Macaca mulatta: one gene and its partner. The main gene of each other region encodes a partner of the protein of the gene in region 2 in a complex. Links are inferred from orthologs where the notes say so. Each region holds a gene or a part of one and is shown on either strand. Other genes may lie near its edges.

What was found.
Region 1: the proteins of TSEN34 (region 2) and TSEN15 are in contact, whole or in part, in a crystal structure (PDB 6Z9U), measured with the Homo sapiens proteins. The link is inferred for Macaca mulatta from reciprocal best matches to the Homo sapiens genes TSEN34 and TSEN15. Residues at the interface, in NP_001070914.1 of Homo sapiens: Pro251, Leu252, Arg253, Phe254, His255, Ala256, His257, Tyr258, Pro265, Glu266, Asp267, Thr268, Ile269, Pro270, Leu271, Gln272, Leu274, Ser283, Val284, Arg285, Lys286, Thr287, Leu289, Leu290, Cys291, Ser292, Gln294, Val300, Tyr301, Thr302; in NP_443197.1 of Homo sapiens: Leu70, Lys74, Trp76, Thr108, Pro109, Ile110, Thr111, Ala112, Ser113, Leu114, Ser115, His116, Asn117, Ile119, Arg120, Leu123, Leu141, Ile143, Val151, Tyr152, Tyr153, Lys154, Leu155, Thr156, Asp157, Gly158, Phe159, Met160, Leu161, Pro162.

The regions. Positions count from the first base shown.
Region 1 is NC_133406.1:41,545,668-41,552,188, reverse strand, and holds the end of TSEN15 (tRNA-splicing endonuclease subunit Sen15), read right to left. Parts: intron 4,670-6,521; coding exon 4,516-4,669; intron 4,000-4,515; coding exon 3,979-3,999; coding exon of another isoform or gene 3,963-3,978; 3' UTR 2,621-3,962; downstream 1-2,620. UniProt on the Homo sapiens protein: Non-catalytic subunit of the tRNA-splicing endonuclease complex, a complex responsible for identification and cleavage of the splice sites in pre-tRNA. It cleaves pre-tRNA at the 5' and 3' splice sites to release the intron.
Region 2 is NC_133424.1:66,426,748-66,434,385, reverse strand, and holds TSEN34 (tRNA-splicing endonuclease subunit Sen34), read right to left. Parts: upstream 6,296-7,638; 5' UTR 6,295-6,295; coding exon of another isoform or gene 6,290-6,294; 5' UTR 6,211-6,289; intron 5,368-6,210; exon of another isoform or gene 5,315-5,367; coding exon of another isoform or gene 5,311-5,314; coding exon 5,068-5,310; exon of another isoform or gene 4,761-5,067; coding exon 4,517-4,760; exon of another isoform or gene 4,366-4,516; coding exon 4,108-4,365; exon of another isoform or gene 3,949-4,107; intron 3,715-3,948; exon of another isoform or gene 3,297-3,714; coding exon 3,109-3,296; 3' UTR 3,017-3,108; downstream 1-3,016. UniProt on the Homo sapiens protein: Constitutes one of the two catalytic subunit of the tRNA-splicing endonuclease complex, a complex responsible for identification and cleavage of the splice sites in pre-tRNA. It cleaves pre-tRNA at the 5'- and 3'-splice sites to release the intron.

The DNA of each region.
Region 1 (6,521 bases), on a different chromosome or scaffold from region 2:
TTTTGATAATTTACTGCAGCTTCTACATCACGATTTGCTGCATCACTTTGCACTTTTAAGTTATGAAGACAGCTTCTTTCCTTAAACCTCATGAACCAAGCTCTACTAGCTTCAAACTTTTCTTCTGCAGTTTCTTTACCTCTCTCAGCCTTCACAGAATTGAAGAGAGGTAGGGCCTTGCTCTGGATTAGGTTTTGGCTTAAGGGAATGTGGTAGCTGGTTTGATCTTCTCTGCAGACCTCTCAAGCTTTCTCCATATCAATAATAAGGCTGTTTGACTCTCATTCATGTGTTCATTGGAGTAGCACTTTTCATTTCCTTCCATAACTTTTCCTTTGCATTCACAACTTGCTGTTTGGCACAAGAGGCCTAGTTTTCGGCCTATCTCATCTTTTGGCATGTTTTTCTCTCTAAGTGTAATCGTTTCTAGCTTTTGAATTAAAGTGAGAGATGTACTACTCTACCTTTTACTTGAACACATAGAGGCCACTGTAGGGTTGTTAATTGGCCTAATTTCAATATTGCTATTTCTCAGGGAATAGGGAAGCCAGAAGGGAGAGAAACCGCAGAAAGCCTGGTTGGTAGGGCAGTCAGAACACACATAACATTTATCAACTAAGTTTGCTGTCTTATATGGGCACAATTTGTGGCACACCAAAACAATTACAATAGTAACATCAAATATCCCTGATAAAAAGATTACCATATCAGATATAATAATCATAAAAAAGTTTAAAATATTGCAAGAATTACCAAAATATGACAGAGAGATACAAAATGATCACATGTTGGAAAAATGGCATCGACAATCTTGCTTGAGGCAGGGTTGCCACAAACCTTCAATTTGTAAAAAACACATTATCTCCAAAACAGAATAAAGAGAATTGTAATATAACAAGGCATACCTGCTTGTATTAAAGCAGCAATACATATCTTTCACCATCAGCACTTAGCCAGTATATCCCACCCCATCTACTCCTACCCCAAACAGCCTTTTATTTCTAAATATAGATCTACATTTCAAGCAAAGCATGAATCAAGTCACGTATTTAATGTCAGTATAATTTTAGAGGCATGCCAGAAAGAAAAAGGGGATGTGAGTATGTAAAATTTACTTATATTTTTATTTATGCTATTTCCCACAGATTGAAAATAAATGTTCAAGAGCATCACTTCTCCAGCCAATCTACTCTTAGTAGAGTCTGAAAATGCTGTGGTTATCTAGCAGTGCCCTCTGGTGTTCAAATGAATTGTTTTATTTGCCTTGAGGGAAGAAATAAGCCATTATATAATCAGACATGTCTATAATCAGCATTCATTCATTTGCCAAGTATTTACTGTGGGTTTACTATATGTGAGTTACTGTGCAAAGAGGCAGGATACAGAGATATATTAAAAAATACATGATTTCTTGTTATGTTCTTAAGGAGTCCAGTCTAACAAGGAGACAAATGTAAACTCAATTACAAAATTACTTAAATCACTTTATCTAGTTTTTCATTAAAATGAGACACACACAGCTGGGTGGCCTCCCTTTCCAAACAGTTCTGGGCCATTATTCATGTTAGGATGTATCTGGCTGGCTTTGGACAGAACAACTTTGGTCAAGTACACAGGGAACATTCTGAAATAGAGTAAACATAGCAAGACATACAGCAGGATTGAATCCTAGTTTTAAAGAGTTGAGAAAGCACCTTTCACAGCCAATCCCAAATGACACTTTCGGTTTTGTAGTTATATAGGAGCCCACTGGTCAACAGATCTGACACACAAATCTGACATTCATTATCCTTACACTTCTTTCAGAAAATGCTATTTTCTGGAATTATAATGAAAGACCTCAAAATTAATCAAATGAGAGACTTAACAAATCAAGAGACCCTAAGAATTTATCATAAACTGTTTTAGGATTCTTAGGCCTGCAAATTTTCCACTAGAGTCACCAAAACACATATCATTCCGAATAGGTGCATCTTCATGTCTTCTGGGGAAGCAGAGGGAGCCTGAAGGAGTTATGGAGACCTCCCACCAAGAATAAAAGTGAAATTCAAATACCATCCAAGGAAGGAGTCACGAATGACTACAGATGAAGAATGATGCTTTATACTATTTTGTGATGGTCCTAATTTTCATCATTTTTTCCATTCTTGTTATTATTGTTTCCTAATCAGCCATGAAACCCTAGTGTGTAGGCAGGACCTATGACCTGCTTCCAACCAACAGAATATGGCAAAGGTGATGGGATGTATGTGATTACATTATATAAGATTATACAGTCCATCTTGCTGAGACTCTCCTTTGCGGGCTTTGAGAAAGCAACCAGTTATATTGAGAAGGCCCATGTGACAAAGAGTTGAGGGTGGCCTCCTGCCAATGGCACATAAGCATTGAGCACTCTCAAGGAACTGAAGGCTACTAATAACCATGTGGGTGAAAAAGCTGACCCCTCCCCGGTCAAGTCTCAGATGAGACTGGAGCCTCACAGAGGACCCAACTAATCTGTGCCCAGGTCCCTTACCCACAAAAACTATAAGATAATAAATGTGTGCTGTTTTAAGTTGCTACATTTGTGGTAATATTATTTTGCAATGATAGATAACTAATACAGATTTCAAGACACTTTTTAATTTTAAAACATTTTTATTATAAAAGAAATACAAATAAAAACATTAAGAAAAGACAAAGTCATCCATTTTCTGCCTCCCATCCCACTATAACCGGTTAGTAATTTGATTTACTTTGTTATCTTTTTATAGAATGCTTGGTCTGTTATTTCAGCCATGATTACATCCACTCATACACTTTTCCATCTTGCAATTTTTACTTAATGTAACATTTTCATGCTTTTAATAATATTCATTACTAATTTTTAGTAAGTACATTATGTACCATTTGTATATATCTGTTTATTGACTATTCCTTAGATGCAGGGATGCAAACTATGGCGCCACATTTGTAAATAAAGTTTTACTGGAACAAAGCCACGCCCATATTGTTTATGTATTGTCTGTGGCTGCTTTTGTGCTTCATACAGCAGTGTTGACAAGTTATGACAGAGACAGTAGGTTAAAAACCTAAAATAGTTACTTTCTGGCCCTTTATAGAAAAAGTTTGCCAATCTTTACCCCAAACTTTAAAGTGGTTTATAATTTGGGCTACTAAAAGTAATGTCACTTGGAATATCTTTGTGCATATAATTTTTCATACTTTGTACAATTTGAGAGACATTAACAAAAGTGGAATAACTGGGTCTAATTAATGAAGACATTTTTAAGGTTCATACTCTCCCACACTCTTGTAACATTCAAGCTATGATATGTGATAAGAATGAAAAGGATAGCCCAGAACTCTTGTAGGTAACATGTCTCTGGTTCCTGTTACTCAAGACACTTAAGTTTACACTCTGGATGAACATATTTTGAGTTTTGATTTAAAGTTAACCAAAAAAGAGAAATAACAGTAATTGCAACAGGAAGACCAATTGAAAGAAATCTTTTACTTTCTACTGGAGAGGAAAAAGCAGGCAGAAGTAGGTGACAAGGTATATATAAAATGCCATTCTAACATAGCTGCAGTGGCCAAAACGCACTGGGGAGAGTTGAGTGAGAAAAAGAGATAGCAGTCTCAACAATGAGCTGGCAGTGGCAGCAAGAAACCAAGAGGCAACTATGAGTGTGGGATGACAAAAGCAGCAGACAGGTCCCACCCATTTGAACACATCCTAGGCATAAACCTGTATACAACTGTAATTAAACTGTCTCTAGATAAGAAAGTTTTAAAGAAATCACTCTATATTTTTTAAGAAGGAGAAAGTCTTCTATCTAGGGAAGTTTTATTCTTCAGAATGAAAACCTTATGGAATGGGGAAGTCAACCCTCACTATTTAAGTCAACCCTGACTATCTCTGAGATAAAAGCAGTCTGATGGTTCTCAAATCCAATCTTGTATGAATAAAACAAGCATCAGGAAACACAGATGTCATCTTCTAAGAGAAATATTCTGGAAAAAAAAAAAAAGATCAGAATGGACTTTTCTCCAATAAACAATGTAATCCAAAAGCAAAATTAGAAAGCTATTTAATGTAATTATCCAAATTATGCCAACAAAGTATGTAAAGAAATCACATATAGCCCATTTATCTTATTAAAATGTTCCTGTCAAAATGTCAACCAATTTAACATTTCTTAAAGAAGCGTTTTTTTAGTTACAACTATTGTTAGCCTTTACATTCCACCTCAGTTACTCACTAAATAATTAAATGCATGATGACTTCATAAAATACTTTGGAAAACCATGAAATTCTCCATAGAGTAAGGAAATCAATTTTTTTGCAACAATAACTAGGAATACACTACTTTGAACAAAATATAGCCAATTTTCTGAGGTATGAAAATCAATACTTTTTTTCTTGAATTTTCCCTATGGCAAAGGAAGTGGCAGTTCTGTGAATGACTTGAGTCACACTTAAAATCATGTCATAATTTTCCTCTTTTTGTACTTGTTGCTGTCAGTTACCTCAAAACTGACCTGAGGGTCTGGCAGCATAAATCCATCAGTAAGTTTATAATAGACTATTGTAGAATCAGACTCCACTATGGCCAAAGTAAAAGACATCGGCAAATCTGGATCACCTTGCAATTTTCGAGATGCCTTCAAGATCTCCCTTATCCTGAAAATAAAGTCACAATATACTTAGGAGTTGCGGTCACTCAATTAGACTAGATGTGACACAGAAGAAAGCACTAGAAAACTTGAAAACAGGTCACAAGAAACCAAACTGAAGTACAAAGAGAAAAAATAATTTAAAAAAATAACATCAGAAGCTTCTGGTATAGTATCAAATAAGTTTAACATACACATCATTGGAATCACAGAAGGAAAGGAAAGAGAATGGTATAGAAATAGTTGACAGTTTTCCAAAATTGATGTCTCTGAATCTGAAGTATATCTTTTATAGACAGCATATAGTTGGATCTTGTTTTTAGCTCCAATCTGACAATCTCTGCCCTTTTGAGTGTTTATTCACATTTAAAATTAACATTGGTATGGTTGGATTCATGCCTGCCATTTAGCTATTTGTTTTCTATATATCACATGTCTTTTTTCTTCCTCTCACCCTCCTTTATCACCTTGTTTTTCTATTAAATAGGTATTTTCTAGTACGCCATTTTAATTAATAATTTTTTTTTTTACTATAGTTTCTTGAGTTTCTTAGTGGTGACTCTAGAGATTACTATTGTGTCTTAGTTTATCACAATTTCTCTCAGCTTAACACTAACTTGATTCTAAAAAATATAAACTGCTCCAATAGAGCTTTATTCCTTTCCTCCTCCTTTATGCTATTATTGTCATATACATTTATATATTTAAACCCAGTAATATAGTGTTATAATTATTACTTTATATAATTTTCTTTTTATAAAGTTAAGAGGAGAAAGGAAAATATATTAGGGTCTTTTTACATTCACATATTTAATATTTCAGGTATTCTTCATTTCTTCATGTAACTATCTGGTGTCACTGTTTACTCCAATATAGCTTCATTCCTTCCCCCATCCTTTGTGTTAATACTGTCATATAAGTTACTTCTTAACCTGCTATAAGCCTGGTCAGTTGATTTTTGACAAAGGTACAAAGGCAATTCAACGGAGAAAGTCTTTTCAAGGATACTTGAAATGAAGATAGTAGTACACCCTTATGTCTACACATAAGATTATTATATGAATCAATTAAATGGCATATATGAAAAGACTTCGTAAACTGTCAAGTGGTCATATTATGTAGTACATATACCAGCTTTGCTACCTTGCAAATTGGGATATAATATTTATAGATAACCCTGCCTCCATGATTATTGCTAAAACTGAATACTAACCCAAACATACTAAGTTACACTGTGCCATTAGTGGAATTATAGAAAATGGTTATTTTCTGAAACAGTCTGAATCCCAGAAATTGACTTAGTCCTTAAAAAATTATTTCCACCTATGCTGAACTATATTACAATTAGCTAGATTCTTATTCATAAGAATGATTTACTTTAGAGAAAGATATTCTGATAAAGCAACTATAGATATTAATCAGAAACTTCATTACTCAGCACTGATGGGAAATCACACTGTGATAAAAGGCAGCATATCACAATTGATTCTTCAACGCAAATCTTTTAGTAGCTAAGTATTTTCCTTCTTCAAAAGTGGCACACCAATATCTAAATTAATAATAATAGAAAAAGATCAATTTTTATAGGCTGTCCATCTTGAATTAATTTTTTTCTACAAAGATGGAAAAGAAGAAACAGACAATGGATCAACTAAAATTTTAACTTATCTACATCTTTTGTTGTCAGCATGTATCATGATTACTTCACAGTATGCAACATACATAAAACCCAGTGTATAATGCACATAAAGCCACTTCAATGCCACAAGATATATTTCTCTAAACATCCCCAACTGGTAGACTGTGATGAGAATGGGACACAGACAAGAAGGAAGCCTGTTAACACAACTTTTACACAT
Region 2 (7,638 bases):
AATGGATAAACAAAATGCAGTTATGTCCATAAATGGAATATTCAGCAGTAAAGAGGAACAAAGCTGGCCGGGGGTCGGTGGCTCATGCCTATAATCCTAGCACTCTGGGAGGCTGAGGTGGGTGGATTGCCTAAGCTCAGGAGTTCGAGCCTGGGCAATTATGATGAAACCCTGTCTCTACTAAAATACAAAAAATTAGCCTGACACTGTGGCCGGTGCCTGTAATCCCAGGTGCTTGGGAGGCTGAGGTGGGAGAATCGCTTGAACCCAGGAGGCAGAGGCTGCAGTGGGCCGAGATTGTGCTACTGCACTCCAGCCTGGGCAACAGAGCAAGACTCTGTCTCAAAAACAAATAATAATAAGCAAGGAAGAAGATGCACATGGTCAGTTCATGAGGAAGCTGCAAAGTGGGACCTTTGGGTTTCACTCTGAGATGGAAAACTCCAGGCGAGTTTTAGACAGAGCTATGACATGGTCTGACTTAACTTTTAATATGATGATTCTGGCTGCTCTGTTGAAAACAGACAATAGAGGGGCAAGAATAGCAGGCAGGGCATGAGTTAGGAAGCTATCAAGATCAAATGAGCCATGGTTCGGTTTTTCTAAGATGCTGGTAGTGAAGGTGGAGGGTGGGGCCAAACTGTGGATCCACAGTGCTTTGAACATGGCACCTATAGAATTTGTTGACTGACAACATGTGGGGACACCAGTCACAAAAGTTTTTTTGTTTTTAAATAGAGACGAGACGAGGTCTCACTATGTTCAGCCCAGGCTGGTCTCAAACTCCTGAGCTCAACTGATCTTCCCACCTTGGCCTCCCAAACTGCTAGGATTACAGGTCTGAGCCACCACACCCAGCCACAAGGGTTTTAAATGAGGAACATTTCAGAGCGGAGACTCCTGACAGAGGTAATGAGACTTCTAAGTACTTTGTTGTAGACAGGAGAAAGGGTGGAGAATAGACATACAAAGCCACTTATGAAGCAGGCACAAAGAGAGTATTGGCCAGGCAGGGGTCTTTTTTCTTTTTGAGATGGAGTCTTGTCTTTTTTTTTTTTTTGAGATGCAGTTTAGCTCTTGTTGCCCAGGCTGGAGTACAGTGGCACGATCTTGGCTCACTGCAACCTCTGCCTCCTGGGTTCAGGTGATTCTCCTGCCTTAGGCTCCTGAGTAGCTAGGAGTACAGGTGTGCACCACCACGCCCAGCTAATTTTTTTTTGTATTTTTAGTAGAGATGGGATTTTACCATGTTGGCCAGGCTGGTCTCAAATTCCTGACCTCAGGTGATCTGCCTACCACAGCCTCCCAAAGTGCTGGGATTACAGGCGTGAGCCACCACGCCTGGCCCAGTATCATATTTTAAATTAATCTAAACTTAAAGGAAATTGAGATTCTATGAGTCTGTTTACTGGGAATGGCAAGAAAGAGGGAAGATGGGAGTCTCTCTAAACCTATTCTGGTTCTAGAGGCTGCTCAATTCACACAAAAAAGAGAAAGAATGAAACATGGGGGGAAGAAATTGAAGAACTAGCGGTGGAGACTTTCAGCCCCAGAACTTTACCATGTGAATGTCTTTTTTGTTTGTTTTTGTTTTATTGAGACAGAGTCTAGCTCTGTCGCCCAGACTGGAGTGCAGTGGCACGATCTCGGCTCACTGCAACCTCTGCCTCCCGAGTTCAAGCAATTCTCCTGCCTCAGCCTCCCAAGTAGCTAGGATTACAGGCACCCGCCACCAGCCTGGCTCAATTTTTGCATTTTTAGTAGAGGCAGGGTTTCAGCATGTTGGCCAGGATGGTGTCGAACTCCTGACCTCGTGATCTGCCCGCCTCAGCCTCCCAAAGTGCTGGGATTGTAAGCCCCTGCGCCCGGCCTCACCATGTGAATGTATTACACTGACAAAATAAACGTGACAAAATAAAACTGCATATTGATAAGATAAAGGTGAAATTATTGGAATAGTGGTAGTGTTCTAGTACTTTCTTAAGCAAAAACATGGATAAATGATTTCGTAAGTGCATATTTTATACATATACATGTGTTTTAGCTTTTATAAAAATTGCAGAATATAACAAATCCAAAAAAAGAGTCTAAAATATAAATGTATAGTATCAAAAAAATTCTCAACCACTACCCAGGCCATGAAAAAGCAGAATGCCTTCCAGAGTCATTCCTGACACTCTCCCCATGCTCTGAACTCCTAAAATTACAATACTCATTTCCTTTCACGATATATATACACACACATATATACACACACGTACGTGTGTGTATATTTACATATATACACACACATATATATACATATAGATTTTCAAGACAGGATCTTGCTCTGTCTCCCAGGCTGGAGTGCAGTGGTGCAATCACAGCTCACAGCAGCCTCAACTTCCCTAATTAGGGCTCAAGGGATCCCTAATTTTTTTAAAATTATTTTTTGTAGAGATGGGTATTACAGTGTTGCCAGAGCTGGTCTCAAACTCCTAGACTCAAGCGATCCTCCTGCCTTGGCCTCCAAAAGTTCTGTGGGATTACAGGTGTGGGCCATCATGCCCAGCCTATATTTTTATTTATAACCTTTGTATGCATCTGGGAAATTTTGTAGAAATCTTTTCAAAAGGAAGTTTAGTGCGGTAGAAAGAGTGCAGATTTAGGAGTGAGGAAAACCAATTTTGAAAGGCCAGGCCTGCTATTTACTAACTGTGTGACTTTGGGCAAGTCATTCCCCCTCCTCCAGGCCTTTTTCTCATCTGTATATGCAGATGAGACTATCCACCGGTTCCAGGTTTATCATAAACATTCAAATCATGAACATTTATATAACAAGTTTATTGAGATCTCCTGAGACTTAAACCCTGTAGAAAACAGATGAATCAAACCCAGGCCCCATTCTCAGGAAGCTCACAGTGTGAAAACAGGTAACTACAAAAACACAGCCAATAAGTGCTTTCAAACAAGGAAGAACATAAAAAGGATGTAGTGTTCGAAAACCTGGAATCAAAAACTAACCGCAGAGAAAGGTAGGAGGATGTTCTAGACTCCCAGAGAAGAGCTGGGGAACATCTAGAAAGGCTCTTGCTGCAGACACAGCCATGTCCCCCTAGGTCTTGGAGTTCACTGCAGGCTGGCCCATTGCAGGGAGGTGTAGACCACCTTACCATCAGGCTGCGGAGAACAGAGGAGCAGGGTCTTTCTGACGCTGGTTCCAAGGCGCCCAGCAGCAACCAGGTCCTGGAGTGGGATGGGGTCCTCCGGGGCCCAGCACTGAGCGATGTAGTGGGCATGGAAGCGGAGGGGGTCACCTAGGGGAGGGAGAGAAGCGCTGAAGCAGTGACCAATGGCAGAGGGCTGGATGCCACAGGAATGACCACTGGGAGGAGATTTGAGATCATTTCAGCAATCACTATGGATACTCTAAAACAGATGCTCTTGGACCCAACTATTCCGCTCTAGACTTTTTTTTTTTTTTTTTTGAGACGAAGTCTCGCTCTTGTTCCCCAGGCTGGAGTGCAATGGCACCATCTCAGCTCACTGCAACCTCTGCCCCCTGGGTTCAAGTGATTCTCCTGCCTCAGCCTCCTGAGTAGCTGGAAATACAGGCGCCTACCCACCACACCCAGCTAGTTTTAGTATTTTTAGTAGAGACGGGGTTTCACCATGTTGGCCAGGCTGGTCTCAAACTCCTGACCTCAGGTGATCCACCTGTCTCAGCCTCCCAAAGTGCTGGGATTACAGGCGTGAGCCATGGCGCCCAGCCTGATGTCTAACTACTTCTAAGCGAATCTTCTGGATCATAGTAAACATTTAATAAAAGTTGCTAAACTGCTTTCCCAATGAGTTCAGGAGCTCCAAAATGTTTCCTGTCCATCTATGAATTTCAGAGGCTAAGAGAAAGTGAGACAAAAAAAAAAAATGCAGCTGGGCCTGTAATCCCAGCACTTTGGGAGGCCGAAGTGGGAGGACTGCTTGAGCCCAGGAAACGGGACCAGCCTGAGCAACAATAGAGACCCCATCTCTATTAAGACAAAAAAAAAAAGAAAGAAAAAAAAAACGCAGAATACATTGGGATCGTATGGAAAGGCACAGCAACCAGAGGCCCCAACCCAAACTCACCAGGATAGACCAGGAAGTCACCTCCGAACTTGCCAGCCGCACTGAGGAAGAACCCTCTCTCCCACAGGTCTCTGTAAATGCTGTAGCGCAGCTCATGGGCAGGGCGGCCGGCGTGGGGCCAGTCTTTAGACTGGACACGCCAGTCCAGGGGCCTGGCCTTGACAGGTCGAGGCCTGGCAGTGGCCAGCTGGACAAGGAGAGCAGATCTGGGCAAGGGGGCTACCCCATTTGAGGGCTCTGCTTGGGAAGAGGAGGGACCTGGTGGGGAGTACAGAGAAGAGTTTGGTAAATCCAAGGGGCAAAGTCTTCTCACCCTCAGGGAGACCCAGGCACTGGATTCCCAGCTAAAATTTCCAAAAGATCTCTCCTCCCCTTCCCGTGGTTCGTGGACTCCACCTCCCATACTCACCGGCTTCCTCCTGCTCTCCCGAAGCCTGGCCATCACTGGTCTCGTTCTCTTTGGCAGCCTGGCTCGAGCCAGCCTCATGGCTCGAGCTGGCCCCTGAAGCCTGTTCTAGTTTCTGCTTCTTGGCAGCCTGGCCCTCCGTAATCTTCTCCAGGAGCTCCTGACGACGGGTCTCCCGAGCCTCAGCTGCCAAGGCGCTCTGCTCCTGGAAGCTCTCCTCTTGCTGGCGCTTGAAGGCTGTCAGGGCCTGAGAAGCACACGTCGCTGGAACCTCCAAGCTTACGGTCCCTTCGGAAGCCAGGAATCCTGACTCCCAGGCCCGGCTCCCACCGAACCCAGGGGTCCCGGCCCCGCCCCCTTATGATCCCACCAGGGATCCCGCCAAGGCGCTCTGCTCCTGGAAGCTCTCCTCTTGCTGGCGCTTGAAGGCTGTCAGGGCCTGAGAAGCACACTTCGCTGGAACCTCCAAGCTTACGGTCCCTTCGGAAACCAGGAATCCTGACTCCCAAGTCCCGCTCCCACCGAACCCAGACGTTCGAGCCCCGCCCCCTTACCAGGCTGTGGTGCTGAGGGTCTGGGCGCGGGGCGCTAACCAGAGTCACGGCGCCGATCTCGGCCAAGAGCCGCGCCTCTTCGGGCATCAGCAGCAGCGGGAGGCCCAGGCGCGAGTTCTGGCGGGGCCCGCGGGGCAGGGCGCCTACCGTGCGGCCCCCCACACCCAGGCGCTCCCGGAGGGCCTGCACCGCCTCGGCTCCCCACACCAGGGAGCGACCGTTCGCCACCTCCACCACTAGCATCCTCCTGCGGGAGCCGGGAAGCAAAGCAGTTACCGAAACGGCTGCGCGCCGCGGGCCACCGGAGCACAACCAAAGCCTCCGGGGTCTTGGCGAAGACCCGCCCCTAGTCCTCAGGGGGCGGGGCCTCGCTCAGCCGCCGTTCACCACCTGCTGGGCCGGAGCGCCAGGCCCCACCCCAGGGCGATCCCGCCAGGCCCCGCGGCCGCCGGAGACCGACCGGCAGCCCTCGCCCCTCGCCGCGTCCCCGGGGCCCTGCTCTACCCTTGTGACCCTGCAGTCGGCACCCGCTTTGTGCCCACACTGCCGTACCTACCATTGTGCCTTGGAGTCTCAAAAACAAACCTCCCCAAGCGCGGCGACACGCCCCCTTACAAAGGTCCATTTTGGCACCACCCTCTTGCAAAGTGGGCGTCCCCCTTCGGGTGCCCCCCTCAGGGGTCAGAAGCTCTCGAGGCTAAGGCACTGCCAAGGCCACACCCACTTCGGGACGCTCCGGCCTTGGCTCCTCCTCTTTCCGAACCACTGTGATTCGGCTTTCGGGTCTACAAGCGCTCAGACTCCAACAGTACAAAACCCTGCCCCCTTCAGAGCACAAGAATTGCGGCGGTCGGGCGTCCTTGGCTTCACCGAATCCGCAGCCCCGCCCCCTTCTCGAACGCGAGCAATTTGGCGTTCGGGTGTTCTCGGCTCGGCCGAATCCGTAGCCCCGCCTCCTGCCGGACGCCTGAGGTTCGGCATTCGGGCGTCATCGGCTCCCGGCAGTCCCGCAGGCTGTGGCCCCGCCCCCTCCGAGCGCCAGCGCACCCCCGATGGGGAGTTCCCGCCCGACGACCGAACCCCATAGCCGAAAGCCCCGCCCCCTGGGCACCCGCCGTCCGCTCTCCGCTCGGGCGGGCTCACCCCACTTGGGAGCGCTCAGTCCGCCTCCTTGCTTCCCTTCAGAATGTCCCACGGTCCACGGACAGAACCAGCGAGTCACCTCATAAACACTAACTCGCAGTCGAGGCGGAGCCACCCACTACGCACCGCGCCACGCGCTCCTTCCTCCACCCGCTCTTGCCGACCCTCTCGTCAACTTCGTCATCCCGCCCCGTCAGCGCCGGGGGGAGTCAGGACCCGCCCCTCGCAGGCTCGAAGCCCCGCCCTCTTCCCGCGGTGACCACTTTGGCCCCGCCCCACCGAGCGCACCTCCCTCTGCCGCTTCCTCTCCTCAGCTTGGGAACTTGAGGCTCGTCACCCTGGCCCCGTGCCCTAGGCGCACGCCGGCCCTCGGGGTTCCGCCCCTTTGAGGGCAAGCCGCTTTCGCCCCGCCCCCCTGTAAATCCTTATCAGCATCTCGCGAACCTGTTGACTCCGCCTATCATCCTAGCGTCCCTTGTACCCAACTATCTACGAAGTAAACCGAAGCATATGGCCCCACCCACATCCGGCCGAGTCTGTGGTCCCGCCCACATCGGAACAGTGACACTAAGGAATCGACTATCTCCGAAGAAAGCCGAAACATGTGGCCCCGCCCACAGTAGCCCCAGCGCTCCGTTCTCGACTATCTCCGAAGTGAGCCGAAGTTTGTGGCCCCGCCTCCCGTGAACTCAAGCTCCCGATTGTGCCCGAAGGAACCCGAACGGAGACCGCGCCTCATCCCTCACGCCGAGCTCCAGACCCCGCCTCCTTTCCGGATCCCGTCTGTCTCCCTTCGGGTCCAAAGCTTTTGGCTCCTCCTTGTTCCGAGCCCGAAGCCCTGCCCCTTCACGTTCTCGGGGCTCGGAGCCCGGTGTGGACCTGGACTCGAGTCCCGTTGTCGACTCGCGCTCCAGTCGCCTGCTCTGGGGCTCCTTCCCTGCCCGCCCGGGACCCTGACCGTGGCCTCATCCCCGCCCCGATCCGCGCGGCCCAGCGGGCGCCCAGAAGGAGCAGGCGGCGCGGGGGCGCGCTGCGCGGGGGAGGCGTGGCCGGAGCCGCAGCGGCCCGCGGGCTGGGACTGCTCGGCCGCCTCCTGCCCGGCGAGCAGCTCAGGTGGGCCGGGGTGGCGGCGCCCAGTGGCAAGGCGAGGTTACACGGCTGCAGGGTCTCTGCAGGCTGGTGGGTGCGGGGCGGCCCCGGAGGCGCGTTAGAGCTCGGGGCTGGCGCAACCGCCTGTGGATCTGCCGGGGATTGGATCCGACCCACGCTGGGGTGCGCGGGACGGGTTGGGGCTGGGCCTGGGCCTGGGGAGGGAAGGCTGTCCGATCCCCGGGTTCTCCGTAGGAGAGGGGTCTGGAGCTCCGAAGGAGGTGAGGCTGGAGGCCCGGGCTCCTCTGAGTGCTCGCGAAGGACAAGGGCTGGGGGGTC